Linked DNA regions of Schizosaccharomyces pombe. Changing the gene in region 3 together with the main gene of any one other region gives a genetic interaction. Each region holds a gene or a part of one and is shown on either strand. Other genes may lie near its edges.

Region 1 (6,393 bases), 700 kb from region 3:
ATTTTGATTTGTGCGTGGATTGTGTTTTTTAGAGTCGGTGCCAAATTGGAATAAACAGATTTATTAGCAATTTTCCAAGTTGATTTTGCCCTTGTTTTCGTCTTAGTTTTTTGATAACGCTTCAAGTATCCGCAACTCGCGAATGTTTCTTCGGCCTGGTTCATACAATAACCACCGTAATGATTTTGAGTATTAGGGTGAAAGATATGAGTTTCCAGCAATCGTGCTTTTATATTATGAATCTTTTGAGAGTTAGCGATTAACTGTTATCTTTAGTTTAATTAATTTACTAGACTTTACCCTTCTGTGATGATTATGAGTGTAGCAAATGGTAAAATCGATGATTTGACCACTAAAAAACAAGGATCTGTCCGTATGAACCTCCAAGGTAGTTTTTGCTTCTTCTAATGAAAGATAGGGTAGGCTTTTAATGCATGAGATCGGGTTATATAGCTCCGCTATATTATTATGCATTGAAGTGATTACCCGTTTAGGAATTGTACAACGAGTACAGCGAATATTTTGATCCAGAGATGTTAAAGTCAGCGTACTAAGATGTCAGTTACTTTTTTCGGTTTAATCTTTTACCTTGAAATATAGTATAACAGTTCTAATTTCGATGAATGATAAGTACCTGGACCTATATCCAAAGGAACGATGAAGGAGAAAGGAAACCCAACTTTACAAGAACATTTAAGGAAAAGGCCCTTGTTGCCTATGCTGGCAGAAGCTGCCTTTGAGAGAATCAGTGCAGATGTCTTAAGGTTGCAAAACGAGTACTTTTCAGAGATAGAATAGAAAGGTTCTGAATGGCCTTTAAAATTCAAAATACCATAGAAATCGAGAAACATTTCCTTTATCCAAACACCGGTTTCCACGTTTTTTGCCCCTTCGTAGGATAACCAAATGTTGCCATGTAACAAGGATCCAGCTATTAAGGAAGTATCAGGAATCGTTATTGCTACTTTTATACCATCACAATTTAAAACTTGGTTTTCAAAGATTTTTTTTACTTGTAAATTAGATTTTCGAACTGGTGCATCAGCTTCAGGATAAAAAGACGATTTCCTATTCAGAATATTCGGTCGTAACACATCAGTTTTGATGGTTAATATTTCTGACTCTTCACTTAATATATAGGGATCATCAAAAGGATTTTCTATACTTGACAATGTTTTAGATGTCAATGGATCCGACAAACTGCAAGTTTCACTGTTACTAAAAAGTTCTTCTGTCATTAGCACGATATTAGGTTGTTATCAAAATGAATGTATATTTTTATTTATTGGAAATAGTTGTTGGAGAAATCTTAAACTGATATTTGCCAATGAGGTTGTTTACTCGTCAACATCATACTCGATGGTAAACATTCCAAAACAAAACGGTAACTTAGTTGGTAAAAAAACAAGCGCAAAAAGAAATATACAAAGAAATTGTAATAAAATTTTGTAAAATATAGATACTTAATGTCCACATTATTTGACTTATCCGTAAGGTCATTTGAAGATCATGATAAAAATATTACTTTTTCGTTTGCTGAACGTCGGTGTAACGGCCATAGCCTTCAACCTTCGGTTTTTCGTAATCAGTCTTGGTCATAAGCATATTCATTCTTTCTTTTATACTCATAGGTTTTTCGGGAATTACATCGCCCTGCTCAGCGTTTGGATTCGTATGCTCTTTTTCGGGTTTAGAGACACGTCGTGCATTCACAGCAATAGACATACTGGCACGTCTTCCCACCACACCTCGTTCTGTGGCCATATTGGTTGGAGGTACACTTTTGCTTTCTACCTCGCCTAGCCCAACTGGAGCATTGGAACTTTGAAGACTAGAGGGTGTAGGCGCAGATATATTGTTTTGTGGGTTTTCCACAGATTTTAAGTTTACAGGTTTTGGGACAGGAGCGGGAGCAGCAGCTACCTTGTTTAAACTTGATGTATGGTTGTACCTATCAACCAAACGGTTAACACTAGTCCTTGGCTTTCCCGAAGCATTACTAGCTGAAAGAGGTTCACTTTCTATAATATTTGATTCTTGACTATCAAAAGATTTAACATCACCAGTAAAGACAGCTTCGTTTGTAGGAACAGTTTCTTTAGCCGTAGATGAAAACATATCGTCAGCCAGAGCTAATGTGCTTAAACGAGGAGTCGTAGGAGATATTTTAGGTTTTGGCTGGACGGGTGGAGGTGGTCCATAAGTATGACTAGGTGGTGCACCTTGGGTAACTCGGAAGTTGCTAGGTAATTTTTGAGTAGAAGGTACATTTGAAGTATGTTGACCGTACGAAAACCTTGAGACAGGAGAAGAAGTGTTTCCATTATTATTATGATCTCCGTTAGAAAGATAAGGCATCGAGTTTACATTGGGTAACATCGGAGAAGCCATTGGCTTCATAGCAGAAGCAGGCTGAGGGAACACGGATGATTTACTCTGGTGAATTCCACTGTTTTCTAACTTGGAAGCATGTTGCAGATATTCGGAACCAGAAGGATTGCAGCTGGATACATTTTTACCGTTGTATATGTCGTAGATATGTATAGGAACATTACGCATCTTACAAATCTCACAAAAGGTTTGGTAGATATTAGGACGTTGCCAAGGATATTGCTGCAATAAGGTTGAAATTAGTCGCTTTAACCGATCTGAATAAGGTGGAAAGGTTGGAAAAGCGTAACTAACATTCATAATAGCAGCAAGCCCTTGATGTTCAAACGGAGTTGTGTAATAGCATAGTTTATAGAACAAAACCCCTAGCGCCCAGATATCTAAAAGCTAGTGTTAACGAAATATATTCTAATAACGTTACAAAGAAACCATACCACTTTTCTCGTCTATCCCAAATCCTTTATGGACATTAATCATTTCAGGGCATCTATATTGCCAAGTAGTAAATTTTTCGATATCATATTCTAGCTGTTTGGCCTCAGCGGCCGTTTTAGCACCCGGTATTGGGTGACATGCACTACCAAAATCACACAGCTTGTACGAATTTGGGGCAGCTAGTAACACGTTTTCAATCTTGAGATCTCTATGAATTAACGGAGGCTTCAAGTAATGCATTACTGCAACCGCTTCAGTAACATCAGAAGCTATTTTCAAAATTTCTTGTTCTGATAAACGAACTTGAAGTCTAGTGTTCAGAAAGTCAATCAAGCCTCCACAAGGGCAATACTCCAATAGTACAAGGACCTCGAATTGATTTTTTGATGTCCTAAAAAATTCCGAGCCATAATATGAGACACACCGTTTTTGGTTGCTAACAAGTTTCTAAAGACAAGTCGTTAGTTTATAGTAAAAAATTGGAGAGCAACAAAATACAGGATAGAAGGACATACCATAGTCCGTACTTCTTCGTGCACAGCTCGAAGGGCCATAGCATCCGTTGCAAAGATACGTTTCAAAACTGCCTCAAACGGTGGCTTTCCTGGGAAGACCAATTGTACCAAATATACATGAGAGAAGCCGCCTAAAGATACGCTGTTAACATTTGGAAGCTGATGATTTTACATACCTTCAGCAAGGTATCGTTTTACTGTAACCGAAAACTTTTCCACCGTACAACTAAAACCAACAGGCAGAAGACCTGAAGGTAAAGAAGATACTGGAAGCAATGAAGTGTTGTTTGTTTCATTCATTGCAAAAGAAAGTCTGCTGCAACCAGATTTACTCAATGTAAATTTGGTGGTTTAGGAGCGGAACGTGGGTTAGGATATATAATATATAAGTGAAACAGGTGATATTCAATTATTGGCCTTTACTGAATTATTCCTTTGTATAAATTGATACATTCGATAGCCTTCATATGATAGAAAAAGAAATGCATCCAAGCGAGTTCGATTGCATTATTGACAGATGAAGCTGAGTTCAAAAAATAAATACTATGGAAGACAAGACTAGACAAGCATTATTTAAGTTAAAAATTATAGTTATGTTTTCATTTAAGTTTCTTAGTTCTCTCTTCTAATAGTGAATACATGATGGAGTAATTTGTTGCTTCAGGGACTGCAGAAAGACTTATAAAAGGCTGCATTACGGACCACTATGATAGCTAAAGGAAAATTTAAATAGACGAACTCCGTCAAATGTTAACTTAAAAATCTAGTAGTTCATTACATTAGCAAAATTCCTGTCCTTCAAATGCATTGACGACTAACTCCAATAAACACAGCTATCATCCATTGTGAGGATTGGAACAGAAGATACTACCATTAGATTATCTACTTTTAAACAATTAATCTTATGAATTGAAGTAAAGTAAGACAGACCTCCAACTCGCTATCGCTTATATCATAATTAGCATAATTAGATCGCATCGATCAGTTAATCGTGATTTTTCTAAAGTTTGAGGAAAAATAAACAAAAAAAAGTGAAATAATTACAATACATATGTTAAAGCGCATTTTCCCCAATAATGGCCCTACTTAACTTTTTTTGTGGCATCCATTAACAATTGCCTCTTAATATTAACCACGAGATCACAAGAATTAAACCGAGAATTCACGATACTTAAACATTGTTAAATGAAAATATAAATCCCTTGGAACCACTAAATTTACCTTTTTTGCAGATACCACTTGGTGTACTTATCTTAATAAGGGCAACTAGAACCAACATTCTATCTAAAGCAAAGTAACCAGAAAACATTCCTAAATTTTATACATGCTTTAAATTTCTTAATTTTGATATATATTTCGATATCAAGAATTTTGAATGCTTTAAAGTCGTTTGAAGGATATTGCCTTTTAATTTTTGCAAAAAAGAGTTTCCTAAGTCAATATATATATATATACATATATTCTTTCTTTTATGTAATTAATTTTAAAAATTATTTGAACATGAAATTCGGAAAGTAAGGATTTTTTGAAAGTTCTGAAGCTTACTAACTGTACAGGGTTATCGAAGGACAATCTGTTGCAGGTATGCTAGTTTGTAGTTGAAAAATAATTGACGTTCGGATATGCTAATTCGAGTAGAATGGGCTTCTGCTTATTTTGACTACAAAAAGGGGAAAAAAATAATCGCAGGCATTGCAAAGAATCCTTCTGAGGGTCTGTATGGTACTTCAGGGATTTTGGGAGAAACACCTGAAGAAGCCATTGTAAAGTAAGTTTTATTTAATTTGCACTATTGACTAATAAAACAGACGAGGTACGTTTTTTGACATCTCTAAAAAATGCATTTCTAACTGCTTTTGACCTAGGGCAAATTCATCGGTTTCATCCCCTTTTTCAAGAGTTTCTTGACCAACAAGCAAACAAGGTGGAAGAATTTTTTGAAAATTTGGTGTCTGATGCGCGAGAAAGAATGGATCTTATTAGCGATCAGGTCGATATATATGAAAAGCTTCGTGCATTCAAAAAGGGGACCCTTGAATCGGGATCTGTTGTATTAATACAGAAACAGCACTCTAAACTCAGACAAAGGCTTGATTCAATCCTCAATTTTTCTCGACTTCAACCTGCTTATCATATCCCAGCTAGGAAGAGTGTCCCAACTGATGCTTATACTCCGATGGTCAGTTATCGCAAACTGAAATCTAAATTGAAAACGGTATGCCTCAGTGCTTTTTTCCTTCATAGTATAGATGTTTGTAAATTTGCTAATTGTTTCAACTAGACATTGCTGGACTTTTATGATTATCTCAAATTGGTTTCTCAGTACCAGCATCTTAATCAACAAGCCTTTCGAAAGATTGTCAAAAAGTATGATAAAACATTACATACAGATCTTCAGGGCTTTTGGGTTGATTATATGAGCAGATATACGTTCACAGATTTCAGCATCACTACAAATTGGCAATTGCATGTTGAAGACATATATGCTCGTCTTTTTACCAATCATAACAAGAAGCTTGCTTTAGAGCATCTTAAGTCATTTCGTCAAAAAGAGGTAAGTATAATTCAGTTGCATCTGGACTTTACGTTATACTCTAATTACTAACTTGGGTTATTTAGCACTTTTCTGCAAACTCGATGCGATTTGGACTCTTGTTTGGTGCAGGTTTACCGTTGGCTATAGAGGCTGCTTGCTATTATAATGCTACTGAGCAATCCTCCTACCTTCTTCAGATATGGGGAGGTTTTTTTTTAGTAATTTTTGCGTTCGTACTGTTTGATTTAGACTGTTACGTGTGGGAGAAGACACGGGTTAACTACATGCTTATTTTCGAATTTAATCAAAGAAAATCTTTAAACTGGCGTCAGCATTTGGAGATCGTAGGAGCAGTCTTCTTTATTTTTTCGCTGTTCTTTTTCCTGTGTATGAGAAATTTCTTTCCTGGCTTCACAATATATTTTCCGGCCCTGTTTTTGGGAGTAGTGGGCACGTTTTTAATAGCCCCCGTCATTGTTCCCTATTGGAGAATGCGAAGATACTTGATAATTCAGC
Region 2 (6,853 bases), on a different chromosome or scaffold from region 3:
AATTTTTTGGTACGTTTCGTACTTTACATTTTCTTTAGAGAGTATTAGAATAAAATAACAACTATAATTCTAGCTTCTGCAATTACAAAAAGAAAGGAAACAATTTATCACACTACAAGGCATTGAATTAAACCATTCCATACACTTTTAAAGTTTGGGAATTACAACCTAAGACAAACTCTTAATACTCACCGATAAAATAATTCGGTAATATTGAATGACTCACAACACTATGAAGCTCAATATGAGAAATAGATGGATATTTGCTTAGAATTAGACAGATGATTAAACCAAATTATTCATAAATAAGCAATCCATTCGTTAAAAATTCCAAAACCTAAGTACATTCATACTAAATAGAGAAAATGATAAATAACAAAAAAGGTACAACTAAATGAAAGAAACGAAATAACAACCAGTAAATCACAAACACAACAAACTGAAAACAGTTCCTCAATTATGTTAGGAGCAATTTAAGGAAATTATCGTTTTCTCTCATTCCTCCACTTGTATACCGGTTTTCCGTTTACGACCTTCTTTTTCTGACGGCCTCCTTTTCCCTGTAAAAGTCTATCAAGCTCGACACGTTCTTCAGCAGCCGCCAATTTTTTGTCGCGTTTCTGGCGCAAAAGAAGCTCGGTCGCCGCCTTTTCTTTTAATTTTGAGTGCAATTTTCCAGAAAAAGGCTGGTTTGTCAGTTCATTGTTTTCAATTTGATCTTTCTTTACACGATTTTCGGTTCGACCAACCAGATCATCTGTAGTTTGGAAAAATTCAGCTGGGTTAAAACTTTTTGCCTCTTTAACATTGTCTACGAAGATGGTGTGCTTCCTGGATTCATTTTTATTCCGATGAGCTCCCACAGTATGCATTTGTTGTTCCAAATGATCAATTTTAGCACGTTCAACATTGCGATGATGCCGAATCCAGCCAATGTCTTGAGTTTTCAAAATTTTGATTGTGTCCATATCGATGGTTGAATCCTCGCGCTGTTCAAGGGGTACTCCATTTTTGGTCTTTTTGTGTGTCATTTCATGATAAAACTCATCAGGGTTTCTTTCAAGGGCTTTTTCACGAAGACGTTTTAACTTCTTTTGCTTTGTCTTATAATCCTGAGCACGCTGCGCATAATCCTTTCGTTTCTCTAGCAAACCCCATTTTCGTCTTTCAAAAGGCTGAGCTCTTTCTCGATGATTTTTCCTTTGACCTGCATTTTTAAAAGACGAAGACATCTTTAAAAAAGTTATGGTTAATGTTTGGCTGTTTGTCAAAGAACCGAATTATTGGCTTTTAGCAGATTCGCCTCTGCAAAATATTTGTGTTTAGGGCACTACAAGTGTTAGCGTGCAATGTGCTCAGGACGTTAAGATACGCTATTACCCCCTTGGCTAGTGCTTGTATTGTTTACGATTTGAAGTTATACTGTTAATACTCTATAGATATAATCAAATTTTTTAGAAAGAGTCTTTGGCTGAATGGTGGCTTGTTAGCTTTCTAGTAGAATTGGAAAGTTTACTGTTAATGTGCAGCCCATATCTATCAGTTTAGCAATACTTATTATTAAAAAATAATTGTCTTAACTTCTCTATAAAACTTTTTATTCATTGATTTATTCTGCTCAAAAGGAACGGAAGCCTCAAGATAATTTATTAATTACTGAAAAATAAAAAATAAGGAAAGTAAGAGCAACGCATTAGGACTAATCGCTATGCTGTCGTTAACATTAACTGTCATCGATATCTCACTACATTACACATTACTTAAGTTTAATGTCCTTAATCTTATCCATTACGATGCCGTCGTTCCCAATGTATGTGCTTGTGGTTGACATAACTCAATTGAACAAAAAGTGCATCTCTTTGTTCTGTAATTCCACTGAATTGGTAAATAATGTTAAGCATTGTTATACCGATTATCCTTCAGTATGGCTTTATTTTAAAAAAAGATTTTGTTAAATAGTCATCGTAGTTTACTGTATCCTCAAAGCAGTTATAGATGCTGTAGCTGACGGCAAGTTGTCTTTACACACTTCCCACAATGAAAAGGGAATAGATCAAAGAAGAGAAAAAGCTGTTACTGGTGAGTGTAAAACGCTTGGCACAACCGAGAGTTTCATAGCAAGTATATTAGATTTTTGTTATTCGATTCAGAAGATTTAATTCATTAAACATTTGTACTTTGATTTTTTCTTAATTTACCCTTAATGCTTGTACAATATAGAATATTGACTGCAGCCTAGCAAAAACTAGGGAACTAATATTTACATGTAATATGCGTTATTAAATGTGTATTTTTTTTTTTTTTTTTTTTATGGGAAATATAATTAAATTCGAACTGATATTAAATATTATTTTTAAATTTAAAAAAAAAAAAAAAGGATCTATAATATTAAAATTAATCCTAACTTGCTGGTACTTGAACGAACTCTTTATAAAATGACTGTTTAGCAAATAATTGGTTTTGTTACACATCAAAAAGAAAGAAGAAACTAAGACTAGTTACATAGACAAATTTTTATATGGATAATTGCAACAGACCCTGTAGAATATGTGTCCCAAAATCGCGTAAAATACGATAGGTGCATTTAAATCGCTGATAAAATAAAGCAATTAATTTAGGAAGCAGTTGTCTGTGAATTCTAAAAGTATTGATAAATATAAACGATATTAGCCAAAAAAAATTTAAAAAAAATAAATTCTCTTATGAAATTATCAGGTATATAGCCGTTTAGATTTCTTTTATACTCTTTAATTTTGCGCAAAAATACCTATCTTTAAGAATATTACTATTAACTTATTAATTTGGTTCGGTAAACTCGAGTTCGTTAGGTAATCGAAAATTGCTTGACGCTAATGTACCCTCTGCGAACCTGTCCATAACCAACATTTCTTTCTCCGATATCGGTCATGTCGGTCGAAGAACCTGGGATAGAAGCACATGGTCATAAAGATCGGATGCTTTATGCCATGTTGCTAAGTAAAGATACTTCGCTCGCATTTTTGGGATCGAAGAAGATTATGATAGATATCCTTCAGCATATTTGTCGTACTCAAGGTAATTTAGACTTCTAGACTACTAATTTTATGAAAACTGGTGAAGTTCTTTTTGTTCTAACTTTTCATTTCAGATATTGACGAAGAATCAGCTATTGCTGCCTTGGAAGATATTTTTGAAACTTTACCACGAAATCTTTCTAGAGATGCTCGAAAACAAATCGAAATAACAATAAATCATTTGGTCAGTAGATTACCTTCAATAGTGCTTCCTTTCTTAGTTCGTCGGCTGACCACCATCGCTGGAAGATTGGATCGCTTCAGGAGTACTGTCTCTGTATCATTTGATTGTCTTAACTGGGTTAATTCAATGATTCCCAACCTTCCAGAGAAAGAGCTACAGTATTGGATTTTAGAACTGCTTCCACTACAAAGCAGTTTTTTATCATATGCTCTACGCGATGGAAAACCCAGTGTTGCTGACAGTGCCATAAAGTCTACTAGGAGATGCTATCGTTCTTTATTTTGCAAAAAAATGGACTCCTTGAAGAAGTTGGTTAGTTTTCTGTTGACAGAAACCGAGAATGCTATTCTTCCACCCAAATCTCTACCTTTGTATGGTGTTATTATTAGCACATGCTACTATTTTCACCAATCTCCCAATCCTCGCAATGAAATTTCTCAGCAGGCTGAGCTCTTTTCAAAAATAATGGCCCAAAATGTTTTAATGGCAAAACCTGCACTTGAGAAATACTTGTATCATGAATTTTGCTACAGTCTTGGTTTGCTTCTTTCAGTAGATCAATTGAAGCTATACCTACTTCCTTCCATTGAAAAAGCTTTACTTCGCTCTCCAGAAATTATCTTTTCAGGTATACTTTCTTCTCTGGCTCATGGTTTCGCGGATTCAAAGGTGGATGCTTCTTCTTTGATTCTCTCGTCTGTACTTACCTCGTTTGTGAACGGACTGAAAAGCTCAAACGCAGAGGTTAGAAGAAACTGCTTTCAAACGTTTAAGGATTTATCAGCTAATGCGAGTGATAATGAATCACTTTCACGCGTTGCGTCTGAACTGATTACCTCTCTTAGAACCGGAAAGGTTACGGCTTCCGATCAGCGTGTTCTTTTTGTTGATGCACTCTCGAGTCTTTCTCTAAAACATATCGATGCTTCAATGCTGTTGAATGAATTATTACCTCTTTTTACTAAAGCAAAAGAGAGTGATTTTAATTCGCTTGCGTCATTGATTGTTAAAACGTTGAAATTTTTGTTAATGAATGGTCGTAATCCCGGAGACAAAATTTACGATTTTCTCTCTAAAAGCCTACAGAGACCTGTCGCTCATGAGTCGATGTTTTGGCTCACATCTTTAGCTACAATGGCATGGGATCTTCCTGCATCTGATGATGTTCAAATAGAATTTATCAATTTCTTTTTAAATAATTTGTCTATTCTTACGGAAAAGGCTCTAATGTCTGTATCTGGTGCTACTCAAAATGGTACATACTTAGCACCTATAATTTATTTAAGTTTCGGTGTTAATAAGTTGTCTGTTTGGAATAGTGAGAGAATATCCCATACTCTTGAATTGCAGGACATTTTAGTAAAACTGTCAACTCCCAAAAATAATGATGTTTTCATTTTCTCCAGCAAAATTACCAATAAGCTTAATGATGATCAGTCGAAACTTTGGTATTTTCAGGGCCTCTGTGATTTTGCAAAAGTTTCTGATAATTTGTTATTTTCCAATTTTGTTGAACGTTGGTTTCAATCGGTCATCGGCGTTTTTTCTTTTGCTAGCCGTGAAAATTCTAATCGTGCGCTAAAGATTCTTAAATCGGCAATACTATACCGTCCCCATCTTCGTATGTCAATTTGCTCACAACTATGGAATTATCATGCTGATTTCGAGAAGTCCAAGAGCGTAGGAAAGTTTGACTCAGCCAAATACGATGAGATTTCCTCATTATTTCAATCCTTAATCCTTTCATCGATGTCCGCTGATACTTCTAACTTTTCAAACCAGGAACTTGTTGACTTCGATAAATATTTGGTTGAACTCCTCTTCCTCTCCTTTGCATTTAAGGATAAGTTTGATTGGATTCGCTTCTGTCAAGTGTCTAAACGTGATCCCGCTACTCTTGTTTCTGAACGCATACACAGTATCATCGAAGAAATAGAGTTGTTACTTTCTTCTGCTATCAAGGACTCTAAAGAGACAGCAGCTATTGCGTCTATTTCCATGATTGTTTTTGTCGCTCCTGAAGAATCAATACCTTTGTTCGTAAATGTTTTCCGTAATCAATTGTTGCACCTTAACATTTCTTCTGTATCAAGTACGGATTTAGAAATTTGGAAGACCCCTGAGGGTGTATTGTGGGATAACGTTTTAGAAAAAAAATCTTCAAAGAAGCTTGATAAGAATACCAAGGATTATGAGACTAAGAGATGGGAAGCTGAAGTGAGGGCGAAACAGTCTGCTAAAAAGCCTGCGAAGTTGAGTAAGGATCAACAAGCTCTTGTTGATGCACAACTCGATGCTGAAGCTAAAATTCGTAGTCGAGTCAACTTGATTGCACTTTCATTAGAAAGGGGATTAGGCATTATTCGGAGCTTAGGTGAGGCTGTGCAACTCGCACCTGCCCTATGGGTTGAAGATGCTATTGATGTCTTACTTTTCCACAACGTTCTGAAATATAGTGAGCCATTTCTTAAAAACTTGGCCTATGATACTTTTCTGCTTACTTTGAAAGCTTCTGGATTTTCTGAACGATTAGGTGATAGATCTTATTCATCGAGTCTCGCCTCTATCCTTGCCCATACATTTAGTGTAAATTCTTCTGAAAATATTAAGGAATTAACAAAATCCATACTTTACAAACTTCGCTTTGCCATTGAGCAAAACTATTTTGAGCCACAAATGTTTGCATGCATATTTCCATTACTTTATGACTTGACCTTTAATATCACCAATTCTGATGAAGAAGATGAAGCCGAATTACAACTTTTGGTTACAGAAATTTTGGAGTTTCAAGCACTTTACTCAGCTTCACTAAGGAGAATGCGTTCAAAGCTAATAAAATCATTGCTGCACTTACTTGAGATTGCACCTACGCAGTATCAGGAAAATAAAAACTCTTTACTTTCTCTTTGTGAAGGGTTACACTCGACATATACCGATGAGGAACTTAATTTATTATTAAGTAATCTTTTTCACCCGGAAAGTAGTATCCGATCAGCTGTTTTGCAAGCTTTACAGGCTTTTGATTTATCACGTTTTGAATTTATTAAGGAAATCTTTCTGGAATTGTATGATGATAATGAAACAAATGCATCTATAGCTCATCAAATATCGACCCAAAATGGACTTGATGCTACCGAAACTTCATTTTTTGAACTTCAAATATTTTTTACTCAAGATTCGGACTATCTTCAGCAGATCATTGGTAAATCTTTAATTGATTTGCTTGACGAGTTTGAAGAGCTTGGTCAATTTATACCGAAGGAATTAATGCGAACATATCGTGAGAATGCTTTACCTTCTGCTCCCGAATATGATGAATATGGAATCATTAAGAAAGAAACTATTGGACGCGATTTGGGGCGTATAGCTAGAGAATCAGTAGCCGTATCCTTTTTTCACATTTCCAAATATCTTTCGTCCAATTTGCTATTACCCTTCTTGGAGTTCTTGTTAACTGCTTCGGAAGCGGAGGCACAAATTCCAGTAACTGATGCTTCCCAAAAAGTGTCATCGAAAATGCTTGAGGCTGGAAAATTAGCAATTTTTCAATCAGGTGCACACCAGGTTGAGGCTCTAATGGAACTTTTTGAACAAAAGTTGAATGTTGATTCCTTGC
Region 3 (7,791 bases):
AGTTAGACTTGAATCCTGTATTCTAGTCATCTAATGGGCTCTGCCCGCGCAGGTTCAAATCCTGCTGGTGACGGTATTTGTGCGCGGTAGGAGAGTGGAACTCCGACGGGCTCATAACCCGTAGGTCCCAGGATCGAAACCTGGCCGCGCAACTATTTTTTTCATTTGTTTATTTGACTTTAAATAATTTTTTGCTTAGTTGTTGGAATTGAATAATTTTAATGACTTGCAGAGCTCGCTTCAGCTTGAATTGTGAGTTTCTCATCTAATCTTAAGAGTAAATAGTTCAGAAGTGTGAGGACAAGTGATACTTTTAGCATTGGAGTTCTTTGGAAGGTTGTTGAAATAAATCAATGAGTAAACTGGTCAAGGAAAAAAAATCCCTTTTTAGGAAATTCGCATAAAAATGATATCCTAAAGTTGTAACAAGAATCAGAACTTGCAAATATTGAATATCGATCAATGCAGTTTCTCAAGCATCGTGACTGAGAAATTTTTATCCCAAAAGTATAGCATTTTTATGTTACTATCGACATTGCAACTACTGCGACTATTGCAGATTTCTCACTTAGCTGATGCTTTACACTGAACATTGAGGACTATGGGCGAGGTATTCATTCCCATTCATTGCAACGAATATTTGCCAAATGTAGAATCAATTGAATATCTGTTGTGTTTTCCACATAATAGTCTAGCAAATCATGAGAGCTATTTCAAGCTATGCCTTAATTCGAGGTTCTGCAACTGCAGCATCTGTATCGCTCAAACTCAAAAGCATTATATGGCATGGGCACCGGTTTTTCAAAGGGGCCTTATTCGCTTCTAAAGTTGCGTTTAAATATGTGCACCAAACTCCATCTTGCGATTTTGAATGGTAACATAGGTATGCAAAAAAACTCTCTAAACCGAATTCGTTTATCCTATTTTAAGCTCTGAGGAAGCATGATTCCATGACCGAAATATTTGAGACTAAATTGACAAAACTTGACAGTCGAATACTTAGTCATCAAGAGAAGCCTTTTCTTTGGTAGAAAAGTTGAAGAGAAATATACAAAAGCGTTATAATAATTGTTAAATTTTGAGTCAATCAATTAGTTAAATCGTCCAACTAGAAACTCTTTAAGGGAATATTGGCTGAAATAAATTTAAAGAACCTTTATCCATTCCCCTAATGAACGCTATAAAAATCATTTATTACATTATCGAACGTCTACGGCCATACCTAGGTGAAAACACCAGTTCCCGTCCGATCACTGCAGTTAAGCGTCTGAGGGCCTCGTTAGTACTATGGTTGGAGACAACATGGGAATCCGGGGTGCTGTAGGCTCCTTTTTTTTAATCAGTTAGTTGAATTCATTTCTAGTTATTATTTTTCATTCTTGATTGCAGACGCTATCCAGTATTTCCATAGTTATCGTTTACACAAGGAAACTTATATGAGACTGTGAAAGTCAAAAGGACTATACGTTAAAATGATTGTCAATTCAGCTTGTTTATGATACTTAAAATATTGAATTGCTAATATCCATAAAATGAAATAACGAAAATTTCTATCATACTCAGCGAATCGCAACTGTATATGTGTATGTACAGTTTTCTGTTCAATAATTCAACACTCGTCAATTGAAGCCTTTAATTCCTTTAAGAGGGTAATTAGAAACCAAGCTAAAACAATTGCTTCTAATTGAGAACCATTAAAACGGGTTTAATCTAGATAAGACAAAAGGAAAGATACAATAAAGTTAGAAGTAAAATTGTGTTAACAGTTATGCACGTTATGTATTCATTAAAAAATGCAACTGCCTATTTTTTTTATCTTTTGTTTTTTTTTTTTTGGAAAAGGATTTGGTCAAATCAGCATGATTTGATCATATAAAAAAAGGATGCAATGTGACCATGGGAAAAAGGGTTAACTTTCAGTTTCATTTGCTTTAATAGTAAATATGTTCAGTAAGGTAGACCAACTAGGAGAAAAGAATAAGGGTAAATTAAAATATCGACCTTTTTAAAATTCAGGTTTGAGTAGTTTCGAAAGAAAGCCATCATTACATGTCTCCATCGTCACTAGGGAAAATGAAGTTATCAGCGGGGAGTAAAAAGCCAAAACCCTTCGCATCATTGAAAAGTGCCTCTAGTGAGGCATTGATATTTTCATCATTCCAAAGATTTTGTAGGTTGATTTGATTATGATAATCAGCATCTCTAGGGAAGAAAGGCACCTGCGTCGAATAAGCTGGTTCGGTAGCATTAAGCCTTGATTGATATACCTCGCTTTGTTCAGCAAATGCCCGCAAGTTAGTTATGACATCCGTACTTCCTTTTAAAAGTGGAAATCTGTCGGTAACAAAATTCAAAATGTCAATAGCCGTATTCAGTTGTTCGATCGTTTGTTCAGACGGGTTGATTAGAAGATGCACCAGAATGATAAAAGAGGCGGCATGACATGAATGGTAATCCATAAATGAATAGACAGATAGAAATTTGTGCATTCTTAGTAGTACAAGGAGGTCGACAATGTGCAAAGCGGATGAATAGCAGTATGAAATTAACTTATCAGTAAGAAGCCTAGCTCCCTCATCCGTCTTACTATTCATCGTTCTTTCACGAAGCCGGTGTAGTAAGAACGGTCGGCCCATGGCAATTCGAACAATATGATAAGCTAGATGCAAATGAACGATACCTCTGTAAGACCTGCTATCTGGGCCAATGTTTTGTATTTCTAGATCAGGAGACAGTTGTTGGCGCCATGCCTCAATTTCGTTTACAATCTCTTTAATGGTAGCTGCTTTTAAGTTCGCCTTTCCATGTAGCGAGGAATACCACATGTCATAGACTTTATTAGTTAGAAGGGAAATTTTAATAGCTAAGGTGAAGGTCCGGAAGCTGGCAATGAAGTTTTGCGAATCTAAACTTTCACGGTATTCTGGAAAATGAATATCAATTTCGGAACGCACAAGACTCTCGGGCCTGCCCAGAGAAATACCTATTTTTCTAAAAGTTAAACGTTAGCATAAAATAATGAGGAGGAATAATAAAAAATTCTCTTCTTCTTCCCAGACATGAATCTTGGGAAGTTTTCAACAGCCTTACCTTTCCATGCAATATACACTCCAGAAAAGCCGTTTACGAAGTTCAGCAACATCTCCGGAAAATTGAGCATTCGCAGACTTTTTGTGCATACCATTGGCAACAGCAGCTCTCATAGCTATACCAAAGTACATGTATACAACTTCGTGTGCCAATGTTGGAGACAAATACATACCGGCTAGGAAGAAAGACTGTACTGTTTCCAACGACGATTCACTGATGACTTTGGGAAAAAGAAGTTTGGCGTTTTGGTAAAACTGAGAGCCAGGATAAGTCCAACGATCGTGATTTTCATCAGAAAGGAACTCTGGATGGCGAATGTAGGAGAATAGACTGCCCATGGCCATGCTCAGAAGAAGCATACACACAAAACCACCATCTTTTGATTGAAAGGAAGTTGGATCATCGAAAAGATGATGGACTTTTGCAGCAAACAGCTTGGTATTATAATAAAAATGGTTGTTGTCACTAGAAAATTGCCAAAATGTCATAAGTAAATAAAAAGTGATATCCTTTGGGGGTAATGCATGGATTAAAGAGGCGACAGTATTATCGGCGGGATCTAAAATATCTTCAAATGTTTTATTTCCTTTCTATTGAGAAAAACGGGTTAGTAAAGAACAGTAAAATCGATGATGCCCCACAACATAGCAAGGGTATGAAATGAAGTAGATGAATCCATCAATACATACGTTAGTGAGTTTATGCTGCACCTGAAATTCCCTGCCCTGGCAAATGATCTCGTGCACGCGAGCGACGAAGCTTTCGTTAGAGCCGGCATCTTCGTAATATGTCTGTGTCTCATTCAAAGTCACTTGTTGATAGCTTCCAAGTTCGATGTCGGTAAGTACTTTATCAGGATAGGTTTGAAGGCTTTCACTAAGCTCCGCAATCTTTGCTTCCAAGCTGGGCAAATCCAAGCTCATACTTGGCATGAGTTTAGAAAGGATGGTCTCCATATGACTGAGTCTCTGAAGATTGAGAGAAATTTCGTCTTTATTCATAAGCAATCTAGGAGGAGTTTCTATTACGCATTCTAATCCTTTTTTAAGACATCTGCCACAGGGAAAGTTACCGACGCATTTGATTTTATGCTTTTTGCATTCCACACAACTAATATTAGCATTTGAATGAATAGACAAAAAAAAAGTAGAAAAAATAAAACCAAAAAAAAATTGTAAAGTAAGGAAATAAAGAAACAACTACATAATTCAATAGATCAACTAAATAATACGAAAACAATAAATATAGTAATAACAAACAAATCAAGCAACTTTTGGTTGGAATGGCGGCTGATCGAACGCGTACAAACTAAACGTCTTTCAACTCGACCAAAACAACCAGATGCATATTTATTTACATACGCAATAGCTTTTCGAATCCTTTTTGAAGGTGGAATTCGCTCGCCTCTTCTTCTTTTCGGTTTTGAGCCTCCAGCGCTCTTCTTCCCAGTTTCTGCTGTGCTCGCGTTCGCGTTCGCGCTGCTGCTGCCAACAACAACATTACCACCCCTTTCTTCTTCCTCTAGTTGATCCTCCAACTCCATAGCTTCGCTTCTACTCATGCCACTACGACTCCTATCCTCATGGGGCTGCATCCTAGCATGCATGCAGTGAGAATGCAGCGGAACTCAAGCATTTACTATTCTAAGCTATTTATCCAAACAGAAAACCCTCGATTTTTGTGTATGGAATTCACTCCAGCAACTCCAGCTCCAGTTCTCCTCGCTCTCGGAGATCTCGGGGCCCATCCGTTAACAGTGGTTTGCACGTTTGCGTACTCGCCCATTATCTTGGAAATGGCGGCATGCCTAGCAATCCTATCCTGATAGCCCCACGGCTTCCACCGCATTTCCACAATCACTGTGCAATTTTTAGAGAAATATCACTAGCCTTTCTAAATCCGAAATAATGACCTTGATGGATGACACTATCATTTCTTCTTGGTATACCCAGTGTCTTAGTGTATTATATTTCCGGTGGCTATAGCCGACTTAGACATCTATTGCTATCTTGGTGGAATCATATCTAAGCATGGCGAGCGATCAGTACTGTTTTACACTAGTATATGTGGTAAGTGGTGATAAGCTGCGCTATGAGTGCTTGGACGAAAAATTTAAAAAATGAGTTGGGAGCTCGATGTTAGCGTTGGGATGAGGAAAAATCAACGTATGAATGATATGCGTCTTGATTTCCCCATTTCTCATCAAGAAATTCCTGCAAAGTTAGAAATGCAAGACCCAATGTTGGCTCGACTGCTTAGGAAGCGTTTCATTCCATCATTTATTTATTTTATCAAGTATTTACGGTTTTTACGCCCCTGATATCCGATCTTGGATGTTTGTTTAAACGATGAAACTTGACGAATAGATAGGAGACTGACGCATCAACTTTGCCAATTTACCTAACATTATCAAGTTCTCCTATATCTCCGGGCTCAGAAGATCTTTGGAGGAACAATGGGGTAGCACGATATCGGGTATTTAGTGCTAAAACCAGGTAGAGTTGGTAGGTATTGCAATGTTTAATGATAGGTGCAACAGTAGAATTTTTGGTATGTAGGAAAATGTGCGATGCAGTGAACATACTCGAGATTACAAACCGGGTACACCAACCGGAGGGTGGATGCCAGATAACCAAGTCAAGAGCTTGTCTGCCTGGTTTAAAAGGAAGGGATCACCTTGCAATGCTACAAGCCAATTTCATTAGTATATCGATCCTCAATAAGAAAAACAACCCGACTACACTCATTATAAGTGTTGGCGAAAATAGCTTTTACTAAATTTCATTCTCTTTTCCCTCCTCTAATTTTAATTCTTTTTTCTTTTTTCCCTTTCCTTTCTCTACTACTTTTAGACATACTACCATAATCCCGCTTAGATATTTAAGCGCCTAGCGAGAAAATGTCAAGCATCAGTATAGACGAAAAGCTGAAAGATCCCGAGAGTGTCCAAAATAAGGAAATTCTCGATGTCGACGTTGGCGATCTCTCGCCAAAAGGCGTGGATGCTGCTTTCAATTACGCCCTTGATGTCGACTACGATGAGATCGATCCAGAAACGGAGCGTAGATTGGTACGCAAAATCGATTGCACAATCTTCCCCGTCATGTGTCTAGTATACTGCATCCAATTTTTGGACAAAACTTCAAATTCCTATGCCGTTATCATGGGTCTCAAAGAAGACTTGAAGATGGAAGGTCAAATGTATAGTTGGTCAGGTACTGCTTTCTACTTGGGTTACCTTGTCTTCGAATTCCCTGCATCTCTTCTTCTTCAGCGCTTTCCTTTATCCAAGACCTTGTGTGTTTTCTTAGTCATTTGGGGTTTCTTGCTTTGCATGACCTCAGTTGCCAACTATCCTGGCTTTATCGCTCTTCGTGTGCTTCTCGGTATGATGGAATCTGCCGCCAGTCCTGGTTTCATTCTTCTCACTGCTCAATGGTACAAGCGCAGTGAACAACAACTTCGTACTTCCGTATGGGTCGCTTTTAATGGTTTGGGTCAGATCCTTGGTAGCTGCATGGCTTATGGTTTGGCCAAGAGGACCAGTCTTCCCATGAGAGGTTGGAAGCTTATTTTCATTATTTGCGGTGTCCTCGCCATTTTCTTGGGATTTGTCATTCTTGCCGTCGTTCCCGACAATCCTTTCAAAGCCTGGTTTCTCACTGAAGAAGATCGTAAGTTGGTTGTCAAGCGTCTTCGTGCCAACAAGCAAGGTGTTGGTAATAATCACTTTAAATTGTATCAGTTTAAGGAAACCATGCTTGATATTCGTACTTGGATTATGTTTGTCTCATCCGTTCTTTTGAATATTCCCAATGGTGGTATCGGTACATTTTCCTCTCTTTTAATTAAAGGTACCATGGGTTATGATACCCTTCAAACCTTGCTTATGGGTCTTCCTGCCGGCGCTTGTGAATTTGGTGGATTGATCGCCTTTGGGTTTTTGAGTTTGTTCATTCATAAACGTATGGTTTTGGCTACCATCACCACATGTATTGCCTTGATTGGATCCTGTTTGCTTTCTTTCGCTGGTCCTCCTCGTGCACAGCTTGCAGGTTACTATTTATTGATGGTTTCTCCAGGTGCCATGATTGTCATGTTCGCCATCATTTCTTCCAACGCCTCTGGTTATACAAAGAAAGTCACTGTTGGTGTTATCTATCTTATCGGATACTGTGTGGGAAATTTAATCGGCCCTCAAACTTTCAAAGCTGCTGACGCTCCTGAATATATGCCTGCTAAGAACACCATGGTCGGTTGTTATGCAGCAACTTTAGTCACATTTCCTGCTCTTTACTATGTTAATTGGAGAGAAAACAAGCGTAGGGATCAATTGGCTGCGGAGGGAAAGATTGAGCATCGTCCCAATGCTGAATTTGAAGATCTTACAGATTTTGAGAATCTTGATTTCAGATACACTTTATGATTTGTACACTTTGCAGGTCATTGCTTTCTAATTATTGTATACTACTAATGAGTGTACGGAAACTACCGTAATAACTTTTCATTCGAGTTATTAAAGCAGGTTTTAGTCGTATATTCCGAAATATTTCTTTCTTAGCTGGAATACACTTTTAAGAGAAAGAAAGTTTCTGTTTTTAGGAACACTATTCCTTTTAATTATTTTGATTTTCCTTGTCCATGGTTTCTTGTTTAACTTGATGTCGTCGATTGACATATTGTGCTTGTATGTTTAGCTTT

What was found.
Region 1: mutations in SPOM_SPCC417.09C (region 3) and ppk38 together harm fitness more than expected from each alone (negative genetic interaction), as found in Schizosaccharomyces pombe (one large-scale study listed by BioGRID).
Region 2: mutations in SPOM_SPCC417.09C (region 3) and gcn1 together harm fitness more than expected from each alone (negative genetic interaction), as found in Schizosaccharomyces pombe (one large-scale study listed by BioGRID).

The regions. Positions count from the first base shown.
Region 1 is NC_003421.2:2,389,520-2,395,912, reverse strand, and holds ppk38 (Ark1/Prk1 family protein kinase Ppk38), read right to left. Parts: upstream 3,695-6,393; 5' UTR 3,642-3,694; coding exon 3,518-3,641; intron 3,473-3,517; coding exon 3,342-3,472; intron 3,274-3,341; coding exon 2,826-3,273; intron 2,772-2,825; coding exon 1,522-2,771; downstream 1-1,521. Other genes in the region: arrestin family membrane adaptor Mug170, read right to left, coding at 1-242, 301-550, 589-1,238; spx2 (SPX/EXS domain-containing protein), read left to right, coding at 4,842-4,855, 4,898-4,923, 4,980-5,109, 5,150-5,154, 5,207-5,556, 5,623-5,895, 5,961-6,393.
Region 2 is NC_003424.3:2,223,394-2,230,246, reverse strand, and holds the start of gcn1 (translation initiation regulator Gcn1), read left to right. Parts: upstream 1-2,856; 5' UTR 2,857-2,906; coding exon 2,907-3,054; intron 3,055-3,127; coding exon 3,128-6,853. Other genes in the region: U3 snoRNP-associated protein Utp11, read right to left, coding at 483-1,232.
Region 3 is NC_003421.2:1,689,737-1,697,527, forward strand, and holds SPOM_SPCC417.09C (transcription factor), read right to left. Parts: upstream 4,849-7,791; 5' UTR 4,697-4,848; coding exon 4,350-4,696; intron 4,201-4,349; coding exon 3,780-4,200; exon of another isoform or gene 3,681-3,779; coding exon 3,091-3,680; intron 2,992-3,090; coding exon 2,046-2,991; 3' UTR 1,483-2,045; downstream 1-1,482. Other genes in the region: dipeptide transmembrane transporter Dal51, read left to right, coding at 5,990-7,516.